2 linked regions of the Stegostoma tigrinum genome follow. The protein of the gene in region 1 binds, or shares a complex with, the protein of each later gene. Links are inferred from orthologs where the notes say so. Each region holds a gene or a part of one and is shown on either strand. Other genes may lie near its edges.

Evidence for each region.
Region 2: the proteins of mast/stem cell growth factor receptor Kit-like (region 1) and suppressor of cytokine signaling 6 are in contact, whole or in part, in a crystal structure (PDB 2VIF), measured with the Homo sapiens proteins. The link is inferred for Stegostoma tigrinum from reciprocal best matches to the Homo sapiens genes KIT and SOCS6. Residues at the interface, in NP_000213.1 of Homo sapiens: Asn566, Asn567, Tyr568, Val569, Tyr570, Ile571, Asp572, Pro573, Thr574; in NP_004223.2 of Homo sapiens: Arg391, Glu395, Arg409, Asp410, Ser411, Ser412, Asp413, Ser419, Phe422, Thr428, Leu429, His430, Thr431, Arg432, Phe442, Tyr443, Glu444, Gln445, Val448, His460, Asp464, Ala469, Phe470, Cys471, Tyr472, Ser473, Arg474, Ser475, Arg476, Thr482.

The regions. Positions count from the first base shown.
Region 1 is NC_081354.1:108,016,850-108,024,602, forward strand, and holds the start of mast/stem cell growth factor receptor Kit-like, read left to right. Parts: upstream 1-4,637; 5' UTR 4,638-4,699; coding exon 4,700-4,751; intron 4,752-7,753. UniProt on the Homo sapiens protein: Tyrosine-protein kinase that acts as a cell-surface receptor for the cytokine KITLG/SCF and plays an essential role in the regulation of cell survival and proliferation, hematopoiesis, stem cell maintenance, gametogenesis, mast cell development, migration and function, and in melanogenesis.
Region 2 is NC_081358.1:55,565,037-55,572,362, forward strand, and holds the start of suppressor of cytokine signaling 6, read left to right. Parts: upstream 1-4,293; 5' UTR 4,294-4,379; intron 4,380-7,326. UniProt on the Homo sapiens protein: SOCS family proteins form part of a classical negative feedback system that regulates cytokine signal transduction.

The sequences.
Region 1 (7,753 bases):
CAACACCCTGAATAACTGTAACAAATTCTACCCCTTTTGTATATCCTGTTTTAGATTATGCACAATGGGTATAATTTAGTGTCACTGATACTTATCCCGCCTACTGATTGGAGAAGTGATAGGAAAGCCACATTACTTCTGTTGGGAGGCACAACTGAATGTCACTTAACTGGTGGGTGTCAGGATTTCCCTGGCATTCAGGATTCTGAGGATGGAAATCCCGCCTGCTGAGAGCTGCTGGTCAATAGAGAGCAGCAGTTTTCATTGTCAGCAGTATTGCTGATGCCTGCTGCACTACAAGAACTGTTGCAGTGGATCCCTGCACTCAAGCGCCTGAAAGTGGAATAGAGCTTGCAGAAAATAAACTGTGGGAAGGACAAGGTGGTTCGCTTTCATTCACTATCCCTGTTTTCAGTGCTGAGTCACTCAATCGGACTGATAAATGCTTTTGGAAGATGGATCACCTACAGAAAGCAACAAACAAACCCAAGAATCCCTGAATCATCATTTGAAGTTTTGGACAAAGTCAAAGTCTAATGTTTTGTTTATTTACTTGATATGCAACTGTACACAACCAAAATGCTTTTGTGACAATGTGTATATACAAAGAGATTTCTTACAAATAAAGTACATTTTTGAAATTTAAGAAAAAAAATTCTGGTTGGCTCAGGGATAAAATGTGCCTCTTGGCTTTAATAATAAGCCTAATGCAATGACATCCCAATGAAAGTGGTCAAGATTCCAGGCACGGCAATGTAACTGACTCTTAACTTGTCCTCTGGGTAATTGGGGATGAGAAATAACTGTTGGCCTAGCCAGCAACGTTCATATCTCATGAGCAACTTTTTGTTAAAAACTTGTCTATGGGCACCTTCCTGCCTCCAAAGTAATAATAGGAGTGTCTCCGACTCCAAGAAATGGACTTGAACATTCTTCCATGATTAAATGGGCCCTGTGGCCATGTTTCTTGTCATATTGGCCTGGGTTTAATCCAGTCCAATGTCTTTTCGCTGTACTTAATACACAGTCAAACTTATTGCTATTTACTGACCCCACCAAATTTTGTGTGTTCCTCTCTACATGTGCATTGGCTCAAAATAGCTTCAACAATATTGATGTGAACTATAGTAACTAGTTTAATCATCAGTGTCTTGTCTAATAATTATCTCTCAATCAACATCATTAAAAAGTGAGATTATCTGGTCATTATCATATATTTTCATGTGGGCCTTTGGTATGTGCAAAGAGGTTTCTGCAGTTCCTATGTGAGAACATAAGAGACAGGAGCAGGAGTAGGCCATCTGGCCCTTTCAGCCTGCTCCACCATTCAATAAGATCTTGGCTGATCTTTTCATGGCCTCAGTTCCACTTACCCACCCTCTCACCATAACCCTTAATTCCTTCAAAAAATATCTATCTTAGATTTAAAAACATTAAATGAGGAAGCCTCAACTGCTTCACTGAGCAGGGAATTCCACAGATTCACAACTGTTTGGGAGAAGGAGTTCCTTCTCAGTTCAGTCCTAAATTTGCTCCCCCTAATTCTGAGGTTATGACAGCTTGATCTGGTTTCATCCACAAGTGGAAATAACCTCCCTGATTCTATCTTTTCTATTCCCTTCATGATTTTACATGTTTCTTTAAGATACGCCCCCCATTCTTCTAAATTTCAATGAATATAACCCCAGTCTACTTGGCCTCTCCTCATAAGCCAACACTCTCAACTCCAGAATCAACCTAGTGAATCTCCTCTGCACCCCCTCCAGTGCCAGTGCATCATTTTACAAGTAAGCAGACCAAAACTGTACACAGTACCCCAGGTGTGGCCTCACTAGCACCCTATACAGTTACAACAAAACTTCCCTGCTTTTAAACCTCATCCCTCGAGCAATGAAGGACAAAATTCCATTTGTCTTCTTAATTACCTGTTGTACCTGCCAACCAACATTCCGCGATTCATGCACCAGGATATCCAAGTCCCTGTGCACAGCAGCATGCTGCAATTTTTTACCATTTAAATAATAGTCCTTTTTATTGTTATTCCCACCAAAATGAATGACTTCACATTTATCAGCATTGTACCCCTGCCAGACCTTTCCCCACTCACGTAAACTGTCTATATGCCTCTGCAAACTTTCAGAGTCTTCTGCACACTCCAGTGTCATAGAATCATAGAATCCCTACACAGTGGAAGCAGGCCATTTGGCCCATCGTGTCCATGCTAACCCCCGGAGACCTTTCCACCCAAACCCACCCCATCCTTGTGATCCTGCATTTCCTGTGATTAATCTGCTTAACCAACACATCCCTGAACACTGTGGGCAATTTAGCATAGCCAATCCATCTAACCTGCACATCCTTGGGCTGTGGGAGGAATCCGGAGCACCTGGAGGAACCCATGCTAATCCAGGGAGAATGTACAAACTCCACACAGACAGTTGCCGAAGGGTGTAATCAAACCTAGGTCCCTAGCTCCATGGGGCAGCAGTGCTAACCACTGAGCCACCGTACCAGCCCAAGCCGCCTGTAGTATGAGTGTGACTAAATTTCAAGTGTTTTGGCCTGTAAACCACACCTGGAGTATTGTGCGCAGTTTTGGCCTCCCTACCTGATTCAGAGTATCTGAATATGCGCTGTTCACCCTCCCAACCAACTTTGTGTCATCTGCAAACTTGGAGGGATTACATTTAGAAGAACATAAGAACTAGGAGCAGGAGTAGGCCATCCGGCCCTTCGAGCCTGCTCCACTATTCAATAAGATCATGGATGATCATTTTGCACACTCAGATCCACTTACCCGCATTCTCACTGTATCTCTTAATTCCTTTATTGTTCAAAAACAATCTACCTTAGCTTTAAAAATGTTTACTGAAGTAACGCCAACTACTACACTGGGCAAGGAATTTCATTGATTAACAACCCTCTGGGTGAAGAAGTTCCGTCTCAATTCAGTCCTAAATCTGCTCTCTCTAATCTTGAGGCTATGCCCTCTTGTCCAAGGTTCACCTGCCAGTGGAAACATCCTCCCTACGTCCATCTTATCTATTCCCTTCATAATTTTATATGTTTTTATAAGAACCCCCTCAATCTTCTGAATTCCAATGAATATAATCCCAATCTAATCAGTCTCTCCTCATAAACCAACCCCCTCAACTCTGGAATCAACCTAGTGAACCTCCTCTGCACCCCCTTCAGTGCCAGTACATCCTTTCTCAAGTAAGGAAATCAAATCTGCACGCAGTACTCCAGGTGTGGCCTCACCAGCACCTTGTACAGCTGCAACATAACCTCTCTGCTTTTAAACTCAATCCCTTTAGCAATGAAGGACAAAATTCCATTTGCCTTCCTAATCACTTGTTGTACCTGCAGACCAACCTTCTGTGATTCATGCACAAGGACACCCAGGTCCCTCTGCATAGCAGCATGCTGCAACTTTTTACCATTCAAGTAATAATCCCTTTCACTATTATGCTACCAAAATGTATGACTTCACATTTATTTACATTGTATTCCATCTGCCAGACCTTTGCCCACTCATTCAATGTATCTGTGTTCCTCTGCAAAGTTTCACAGTCCTCTGCACGCTTTGCTCTGCCACGCATCTTAATGTCATCTGCAAACTTTGACACCCTACATGTGGCCCCCAACTCCAAATCATAAAATGCTCTCAACTAAGTCATGAACATATATTGTGAATTAGAGGTCAAGCACTATTTCCCGCAGTGGGCTATTAGTCACCGCATGCTTCATCAAAAAGAACAGTTTATTTCTTCACTTTATTCCAGCTAGCTCTCTGTCCATGGCATTATACTACCCCAGTCTCATATGCTTTAGGTTTACATGCTTGTCTCTTACGTGGAACTGTCTTGGAAGCCTTTTGAAAATTTCCTGAGATAACCAGACAAACTATTCACAATATCCTCATGCCTTTAGTTTTACACTTAACTCTATGATTAAACTGTGGGTGAACTGCTGTAATGTTGCCTTACGTGGCTTGGTATCTAGTTACTTTTTAATGGTTAGATGCTGGAATCCAAGGTAGACAGACCTGATGCTGGAAGAACACGGCAAGCCAGGCAGCATTTGAAGGGAGAAGTCAATGTTTTCGATTATTACCCTTCTTCAGGACTGTGCTTCTGTGAAGATTCGGGACCTGTTAGAATGCTTAGGAGGTTAAACAAGTTGCGTCCGCAGTTCTCTCGGTTTTTATTAAGTTGCTTCTCCTGTTGGAGAAATGACGAACTCTGAATGTTGACTCGGGTTCAGGATGTAGAGTAAAATGGGCAGAAGCTTCACTCTGGGGGATTGTATTGGGAGGTTGAGAGATTCAGAAGGAATGATAATCACTTGAGGTGGTGCCAATTTCCGTGATGAAAGGGACAGGAACAAGAAGCCAATAATGCAGGTAAATGCCTTGGGAATATTCTTTACTCAAGAATTCATTATGTTAGTTTCGGGTAACTTTATGAGATTATTAACGCCTATCTGACGGTTATGCAAATAAATCCACAACAACAAAGCAACAGTGTCAAACGAACGAGCAACGAAACGCGTTGCTCCAGTCAGGCTGAGGAGCGAGGGGGAAGCGCGTCAGCGGGAGCTGTGTGTAAAACTGGTGCGAGGGGAGGCAGGCGGCATTGGGACTGATTAAACTCAGAGCGGAACAGGCAGCTCATCACTCAGTGTGTTCCCGCTGCCAATGGCTCAGCGCTGGCTTGCTGCTCTCCTGCTTATTCTGACTGCTCATCAAGGTAAAAGGCTGCTTCTCACTTACGGAATGATTGGTCTGTTTAATTCGCTCACCTTCACATTGTCTATGAGGGAAAGCCCGGTTTGAACTGTGGAGCGATGGAAGAGAAACGAAGGAGGGAATGTCTGGATGAATGAACCTTCACATACCGATTATATTCGCCCGGAGGTTCGATCTTTCAGACCGTCCCCAGTTAACAGGGTTACAAGTGCTTTTGACATTTGAACAAACGTGTTGCAGCTGCATTTAGATTTAGGGAGATGTTATAAAAAAGACTCGGAAGTTGGATTTTTCTTCCACTAGTTTGAGAATATCTGAACACATTCAAACCTAATGTCTCCGTTTTCCTCTCTTTCAATGATAATTAGATTCGATTCCCTACGGTGTGGAAACAGGCCCTTCGGCCCAACAAGTTCACACCGCCCCTTTAAGTATCCCACCCAGACCCATCCCCCTATAACCCACACACCCCTGAACAGTACGGGCAATTTAGCATGGCCAATCCACCTAATCTGAACATGTTTGAACTGTGGAGGAAACCCGCGCACCTGGAGCAAACCCACGCAGACACAGGGAGAATGTGCAAACGCCGCACAGACAGTCGCCCGAGTCTGGAATTGAACCCGGGTCCTTGGCGCTGTGAGGCTGCAGTGCTAACCAGTGATAATCCCGACCTCTGACTATTTGTATTCCTGCCTCTCTCTGCTCAGATCCTCAGGTTCACTTTCCCGCGAGTGCTGTGTATTCTAGGTGGAAGGACATTATTTTTGTGAGACAGATGCACAGAGAAGGGACTGGGAAAGTGTGTTTTTGTTACGTACCTCTGCTGAGACCGCGGTAGCAGGGAGAATTGCTTGTCTCGGAGTAAGGAAGTTACAGAAGTGCATAGGACACCCCAGGCAAACTGAGAAAGGAACAACTAACACCCAGGCCAAAGCAACTTCAATGAACGGATTAACAGCAAGGCAGAAATGGAGGGAAGCTTTTAACGCTGATGGGGTCCTCTGTTTGAATTTTACTGTCTTTTTCATATTCAAAGGGTCAGAAATCACACGACACTGAGTTAGAATTGGACTATAATCTGGTGTGTGATTTCTGACCTTGTCCACCCCAGTCCAACATCATATACAAGTGGGTCAGTGGAGGGAGTCGCGGACCAAACGTGGGATGCAACAGAGATAACGGGAACTGCAGGCGCTGGAGAATCTGAGATAACACGGTGTGAAGCTGGATGAACACATCGGGCCAAGCAGCATCACAGGGGCAGGAAGGCATGAGTTTTCGGGTCGGGACCCTTCTTCTGCGTTCATCCAGCTTCACACCGTGATGTTTTAGCAACGATTGTTTGCATCCTGTCCGAGCGGTAAATCCCGTTGGATTGAAGTTTTCGGCTGTGAGAGTGAAGCTCCCTCCGCCAGCTCTTACACTGAGCCGTTCTGTCTGTTGCACCGATAACGTCTTACGCCAGAGCAGTCAGGCTAGAAGTTTGCCTGGCGCCAGCCCCAAACCTGGTGGAAGTCAGGGGTATAGATAATGAAGGGGTGTTACTGAGAGCTCTGTATTGATTTGGGTACAATGTATTGTTGTATTGTTCTTACTGGTGTCTATACCCTTTTCAACTCATCTTTATCTCTCTGTATCATTGCATCCTGCTACTTCTCTCTACAAAGTCTCTCTCAGGCTTCACCATAAGTGTATCTATGTTGCCCTTCAGAATAATTTTTCTAATTTCCGATCGCGGGACCTGGGCGTCACTGGTTGGGCCAATGTTTGTTGTTCATCCCTGATTGCCCTGGAGAAGGTAGCGGTGAGCTGCCCTCTGGAACTGCTGTCGGCAATACCTACGGCGTCGTTAGTAAGGGAGTGCCAGGAGTTTGCCCCGACGACACTGAGGGAACAGTGACACATTCCCAAACTGGGATCATATGTGGCTTGGAGAGAAACTTCCAGACAGTAGGATTCCCACGCCCACATTCTTGGGACTGGGGTGGAGGTTTCAGATTTGCAAGGTGCTGTCGAAGGAGCCTGCATGAGAACCTGCAGTGAATCTTGTAGCTGATACTCATCCCCACCCCCCAAATTGTGCACTTCTTAAAATGTTTGGCGGTGAGTATGTATATTACGTAGTGACCTGGATTTCCTGATGGCTATACAGTCATTATTCCCAGGCAGATTGGAGTTGCATCTGGGAAACTTCCGGAATCCCGATAATAGCAGATCCCGAAGGAATGGCCCGGAAATTGAATTTTCCGTTGGGTCATACCTCTACACCAGGACCCATCCGAGATTCTCAGTTTAAATCGGAGACTTTGAAGGGTTCAGACGAAATTAAGTAAAATAACTGTTCAGGAAAGGTTAGACTATTAAGTATAGTTGAACTCCTGAGTGACATTCGAGAAAATCCGATCCTTAGCTCAGACACCACAACTACACTTTCCCCCGACCCGTTGAGTCCAAATCCCCCAGCCGCCCTACAGCAGCCAGGCCTGACCCACCTTCCGTGCTCCCCCCACCCACATGTCGTAGGATCTGAACTCACCCCACAACCCCCACTCCCTAAAACCCAGGCGCTGTTAAACCCTCCCCTCCCCATGACCACGGCTGGACCCTGATCTCTGCCCTCCCCACCACCACCACCAGACCGAAGCCCGAGTGACCCTGTCACAGTCACCATCAGACCTCGGCCTGATCCCACAACCAGCCTCTGAACCCATTCCCCATACCCGCTGCTGCATACTGTCGGGCTTGAACCCGGTCGGCTTGCCCCTGTGAGACACTTCCCCTCCTCTTCCACTGACTGTGGAGCCATAACCAAGCTAAAGCCGTCATCCATCCTCTCAGAAATGCAGAGTTCCCTTCTTTCTTGCACTGAGAGATTACCACTCCTTGGAAAGTCCAGTCCATCACTTCATAATCTTTCAGTGTTTTCTGCTGACTAGACTTTTCAGCTATTTTAACCAATCCACAGGCGGCGTCTATGGGCGAAATGGAAACAGAGTTCAC
Region 2 (7,326 bases), on another chromosome or scaffold:
GTGGGTTGTTGGGGGGCATTCTGAAAGTTAGGATTTACATGCATTTGGAAAGGTAGGGACTGATTAGGGATAGTCAGCAAGGCTTCATGCTAGGGAAATGTTTCTCACAAATTTGATTGAGTTTTTTGAGGACTTAACCTAAAAGATTGATGACTGAAGAGCATTAGATGTTGTTTACAGAGATTTGCCTTTGACAAAGTTCCACATAGTAGACTGATCAGTAGAGTTAGATTACATGGGATTCAGAGATAATGGGAACTGCAGATGCTGGAGAATCTACTATCCGACTCCACCACCCAAGACATTTTTCCATCCCCACCCTTGCCTGCCTTCCGGAGAGACTACTCTCTCCGTGACTCCCTTGTTCGCTCCACACTACCCTCCAACCCCAGCACACATGGCACCTTCCCCTGCAACCGCAGGAAGTGCTACACTTGTGCCCACACCTCCTCCCTCACCCCCATCCCAAGCCCCAAGATGATTTTCCATATTAAGCAGAGGTTCACCTGCACATCTGCCAATGTGGTATATTGTATCCACGATACCCATTGTGGCTTCCTCGACATTGGGGAAACCAAGCGGAGGCTTGAGGACCGCTTCGCAGAACACCTCCATTCGGTTCACAATAAACAACTGCACCTCCCAGTCACGACCATTTTAACTCCCCCTCCCATTCTTTCGACGACATGTCCATCAAGGGCCTCCTGCAGTGCCACAATGATGCCACCTGAAGATTGCAGGAACAGCAACTCATATTGTGCTTGAAACTCTGCAGCCCAACGGTATCAATGTGGACTTCACAAGCTTCAAAATCTCCCCTTCCCCCACCGCATCCCAAAACCAGCCCAGTTCGTCCCCTCCCCCCACTGCATCCCAAAACCAGCCCAGCCTGTCTCTGCCTCCCTAACCTGTTCTTCCTCTCACCCATCCCTTCCTCCCACCTCAAGCCACACCTCCATTTCCTACCTACTAACCTCATCCCACCTCCTTGATCTGTCTGTCGTCCCTGGACTGACCGCTCCCCTCCTTACCTTCCCACCTATACTTTCCTCTCCACCTATCTTCTTTCCTCTCCATCTTCAGTCCGCCTCCCGCTCTCCCTATTTATTCCAGAACCCTCTCCCCATCCCCCTCTCTGATGAAGGGTCTAGGCCCGAAATGTCAGCTTTTGTGCTCCTGAGATGCTGCTTGGCCTGCTGTATTCATCCAGCTTCACACTTTGTTATCTTACGTGGGATTCAGTCTGTTCTTGATAAATAGTAGGTAAAATAACATAAATAAATTATCACCATTTCATAAAATAAAAAATGATATTTCTACAAATTTTGTCTTTGAAACCCTTTTGAAATGAGGTTTTCAAATAAATGCAATTTTATTCAAAAATGCAATTCATTTTTCTACAAAAATAATTATATGCCTGATAGTGTAAAGCTTAATCATTGTGCATCGGACGTGGCTAACACTGCTTTTGTCATATTCATCGTTAATCTCCTGTTACTGACAAAGATAGGGACGATCTATTGTGTTGTACTGCTGCACAAACTCAAAATATGCAGGAAGAGACAATCTTTGATCATCAGTCTAGGTGTCATGATATTTCAAAATGGATTACAAGTGTAGTGAGAAATAAACTGACGTATTAGCAATATCAGTTATTCATCTCTCGAAGCAAAGAAGGTGAAGCTCACCATCTGGGAGCTTGTAGGGCTCCATTGGGTATGCAGGTGACTAACAAGGCTCATCTGCACTCAATCTACTCCAGCAAATGCATAGGATCACACAAACAATTGTGTGTCGGACCATCTGCTGATTCAGGATTTTCCATTAATCATACAATCCTTACAGTGGAAACCAGCCATTCAGCCCAAAAAGTCCACACCGACTCTCCAACAGCACCACACCCAGACCCACAGCTCTACTCTAGACCTGTAATTCCACCTAACCTAAGAATCCCTGAACAACATGAGTAATTTAAGACAGCCCATCCACCTAAACTGCACATCTTTGAACTTTGGGAGGAAACCGGAGCACCCAGAGGGAATACAGCAGACTTGGGGAGAAATGTGCAAACTCCACACAGACACTCACCTGCAGGTGAATTTGAATCCAGGTCCCTGGTGTTATGAGCAGTATTGCTAAACCACTGAGCCATCGTGCCACCCATCATTGAATCTTCTTTCAGATTCTGATTTGCACTCACATTTAAACAAGACCTCAGCCTTTTTCATTTGGCCATCCTGTGCAAGTTCTTTTTATGCTTGGAATTTAAGCAAAGCCTGCACAGTAAGATCAATAAGAAAGAGCAGGATGGGCCAGGAACACCAGTGAGATTGAAAAATAAATTAGCAACAGAGAAGAAAAACCTGTACTTGCACAATATATTTCACGATGTTACACATTCAACAGATGTATTAACCAAATGAGTTTTAAAGTTCAGTTGCTACTGTTAAAGGGGAATGCTGGTGGCTCAGTTGGCTATAAGGTAAGCGTTTGGTTCAATATTCAAACACTCTGTTTCCACTAATTTATCACCAACAGAGTGTTGAAGATTTGTGGCCCTGTGTGAGAAAAATTTCACATTAGTAACTGAGGGACAATAAACTTGATGACAGAGGGATCAGAAATATGGGGAGACATGGATAGATCAGGAACAAAATGTCAGAAGGATGGATCAGGAAGAAGGCAAGGGAGGGATAGATGGGAAACAAGGTAAGAGAGGGATGGATCATAAACAGTGGTAAAAAGGGACTGATACAGAAAAGAGGGAGACAGATCAGGAACAGAGAATCAGTAAGAGAAATCAGTGAATAGGATAGAGATCAGGGAAGAGGGAATGAAATTGATCAGCAACAAAGAGAGGGATAGAGAGATCAGTGACAGAGATTGACCAGTTAGAGGTAGCACAAAAGCAGTCACAGAGAAAGTGGTCAGTAGAGGGAGGGAGATAGGTTAAGGGTTAGTGGTGGGGTTGGACAGTTTAGTGACGGGCAGAATGAGATCAATAGGAGGAAGAGAGAACTCACTGAAATGGAGACAGTGCGAGATCAGTGAAAGGGGGTTGTGAGAGAGGGAAAACACATCAGCATGGTGTGAGAAAGAGAGAGATTTATTAAAGGGAAAGTGGGATAGTGACACGGAGAGAGGGATCAGTAAGAGGGAGGGGGAGGGGGAGGGTGAATAAGAGAGAGGAGAAACGAGTACGGTAGAGACGGGACAGCAATCAGCGGGAGATGGAGATGAGTAAAATGGAGGAGATACACAAGAGATCAGTGAGGGATTAAGAAACTGAGAGAGAAATCAGTGAGGTCAGTGAGAGAGACCAGGAGAGAGAGGGTTCATTTAAAGGTAAAGGCGGGGGAAGATCAGTCAAAGGGAGGGAGGAAGTGACGAGTAAGAATGTCATCACTAGGAACAGAGTTCACGTTTAAGAAGAGTTCAGTAGCAAGGATAAGAGAGGGAGAGAGAGATATCAAAATCACATAGATCAGTAAGATAATTGGAGAAATCTGTAGTTAGTGCAGAAAAATCAAATAGTGGAATATAGGGTTCAGTTAAAAAGACATCAGAAAGAGACAGAAACATACAAGATAGGAGTAAGAGTAGGCCAATCAGCCCCGTGTGCCTGTTCTGCCATTCAACTGTTCACAGCTGATCATCGAACACTGAACTCTGATATTGATTTCTTTCCTTATCTTTGATCCCTATAGCCAGAAGAACTATATCTAACTCCTTGAAAACATTAAATGTTATGGTCTCAACTGCTTTGTGTGGCAGGATCACTATTTGTCGGTTGAGATCAGTGAAGAGAAAGACATCAGTTGGAAAGGGAGAGTTCATTCAGAGGGACACTGCTAAAAAGAGATCAGTTAGAGAAATAAAGACTAGTAAGAGAAATCAACAAGACAAGATCAGTTACAGTGGAGAGATCAGTTACAGAGAGATCAGTAAGAAAGGAATCAGTTGGTGAGAGAGATCAGGAAGAGTCAGTTATACAGAGGTAGCGATCATAAGGGGAGATCAGTAAGACAGATCAATAAGACAGAACAGTTTAAGGTGAGGGAGATCCGTGAGAGATCAGTAAGAAGGAGATCAATTGATGAGAGAGATCAGTTGGAGAGTGTATGGCAAGATTCGGAAAGTGATCACTGAGTGATCAGTGGTTGGGCAATCATTTGGGATCTCAGTGAGCGGTCGATCTCTGAGTGGAGGCGGGAGGATCCTCCCTCAGTGACCGGGGCGGGGAGCAGGCGGCTGGAGTGTGAGTCCCTCCCCCCGCCCGCTCTTTCTCTCCCTCCCTCCCGCCCCTCGGGGCTCGGGCCGGCCGGCAGGCGCTGATGGCATGAAGGTTGCGGTGGAGCCTCGGCGGACTGCAACTAGAGGTAAGGTAGCCGTGGCGGCGTGGAGGTAACAGGAAAGGACGAGGCTGGTGGTGGGGCCTACAGTCGTTGCGGCGTGGCCTGACCTGAGCTTCCGCGGAGAGCCGGCGGTCACTCCAACCGCAGGGCCTTGGAAGGTTCTGGGTGGTTCCAGAAACTTCCGGGAGGGCAGGCGCACGGTCGCTCCCGCTGGCAGGCCTGGGGTTCACGACTCTCCTCCACCTCGGGACAAAACCCAACCCAAGGCCCGACACAAGGCCCGGGGATACAAGTTGTGAAAGCGTCTCCTCCCCCGGGTGGAGTCTCCCTGAGTCAGGCTGGCCCTTCTACCCCCACCTTCACCTCCCTCTTTGTATGGGCGAGAACTTGTGGAAACTCTTTCCTCTCTAAATACCTTCGATTATGAAATGCGGAGTCTCGTCAAATCGGAGCTTCCTCTTCTGCCCCCTCCCCCCGCAATTTTTCGTGTTTATTCCGCCCCCATCGTCTTCCTCGTAATGCCCCCCACCAATCTTCTATAACCTTCACCCAACTCCCATCTTCCATAAACCTTATCCCCACTCCTCAAATTTTCTGCAACCTCCAAACCTTCCATAAAACTCTTTTATTCCTAGTATTTCAGTACTCACCATTCCATCCTCCACAAATCTCCCCCAAAATGTTGGACAAACGTGGTAAGACAGATTCCCCCTTTTAATATCTCTGTGATAAACAGGAATGTGTATTCCAACCCCATTCAGTCTGAACTACATTTGGCTTAGGGCTTTCCATTCCCATTGACTTTTATTCCCTTTAAAAGGTAATTTGGGGTTCAGTGATATAGTACAACTGCTTTTCTATAGCAAGAAAGTCTTTCTGAAGATATCTTTAAACTGAAAGCATCATAGAGTTGTGCAGTATGGAAACAGACCCTTTGGTCCAACTCGCCTGCACCAACCAGATATTCTAAACTGATGTAGTCCCATTGCCAGCATTTGCCCCATATCCCTCGTATTCATATACCCATTGAGATGCCTTAAATTTTGGAATTGTATTTACTTTCACCGTTTCTCTGGCATAACAAAGTGTACAGCTGGATGAAAACCACAGGCCAAGCAGCAGCATATGAGCAGGAAGGCTGACGGTCAGCCTTCCTGCTGATATAATGCTGCTTGGCCTGCTGTGTTCATCCAGTTCAATGCCTTGTTATCTCGGATTCTCCAACATCTGCAGTTCCTACTGGCTGTGATACCATTTCTGTGGCAGCTTGTTTGATACACGCATCACCATCTGAATGAAGAATTGCCCTTCGGGTTCTTTTAAATCTTTCCCCTCTCAACTTAAGCCTGTGCCCTCTAGTTTTGGACTCCCCTACCCTGGAAAAAAGACCTTGGCTATTTGCCCTATCCATGCCTCTTATGATTTCATAAACTTTTAAAAGGTCACCTGTCAGCCTCGGGGGTGGGAGGTGGGGAATGCCCCAGTCTATTTGGCCTCTTCCTATAGCTCAAACCCTCCGATGAAGAAGGGTCTAGGCCTGAAACATCAGTCTTCCTGCCCCTCTGATGCTGCTTGGCCTGCTGTGTTCATCCAGCTCTACACCTTGTTATCTCAGATTTTCCAGCATCTGCAGTTCCTACTACCCCTCCAATGTCTGGTTCTTTACTCTCTCCCTTTATGAAATGGAACTTGAACAGTTGAACAAAATCCAATTTAGACTGTCCTCCTGTATTCCTGAAAGCTATCTGTCTGATTCGGTATCTGTTTCATCCACCAGTTTTTGTGCTTCGTTTATGTTTGGAGGCACTTTCCAGAGCACTGTTTAACAAAAAAGCTTTTGAAAATTGTTGCAATTATTCTTCTTTAAATATTGTGTCTCCCTCCACCCTATCGCCCGCCCAGGTGCTGTGACTCAGATCATAAATCTGTTGCAATGTACCTGCCAAACTGGGCCTGACGAAGTTTTACAGTCAGAGTTGTCTCTGCTTGTTTCTGCTCTAATAATGAGCAAATAGTGAGACCTTATTAGTTGGAGAAAGTTTTGGTGAATTTTATTTTCTATCTACATATCATTTTTAAGCAAATTCAACTTTAGCAATGCAAGTTTATTTTTGTTAATAGCTTTCTTTTGAAATTATTGTAATGCATTTTGGGCCATTCTTAGGTTCATGATGGAATAATTGCTGAACTAAGAGTGAAATATGTTTTGATAGAAGAGAGGAATTCAGATAGACACCTAGTAATGTGTCTGGACATAGTGCTTTCAGAATTGCTTTTTCGCAATTTAGAAATTGGGTCTCTGAAAACTATTGTATTTACAACAATTATTATGTAGTTTATAAAAGTCCGCTGGTGTTCAGTGAAATAATGTTTATTGATGTTTATTTAGACCGTACAGTTTAGGGTGTACATCTGGACTCAGTTTTGCTCAAGATTATAGTCTTTTAAAACAGATAAATGGGTGCGTCTTTTTAAAATACTGAATGCTTAATAAACTTGTGATTGGCCTAATTAGATTAAAAGCAAATTAGTGTAATATGTAGGAGAAATCCTGATCATTTTTGGTTTGCAGCTTCTCTTAATCGTCGATGGCTACAGGAGATTCTGCAATTCTTTAGTCTCAATGCATATAAACTGTATAAGTACTTAAAGGAAAACTTTTAAAACAAATTTCTGCTCCCAGAGCTAATTGCCCCAGATTGAGATATGCATGCAAATAGAAACTGAATACATCGTAAATCATTTTGGCTTTTGCAGTTTGCATGTGGCTAATAGCTTTAGTTTTAGCACATGACCAAAGGGTTAATTTGTAGTTTAGCATCTATAGTCACTTTTTCATATTGATACAGTTTTCATTTTTATTTGCTGGATCCACTCTTGTCATTTAACAATGAAATTCCACTCCCTTATCCTGGCTGTCGAGTCATAAATCCATATTTCTTGGGCTGTCTAATTTTGCTGTATTGAGGAA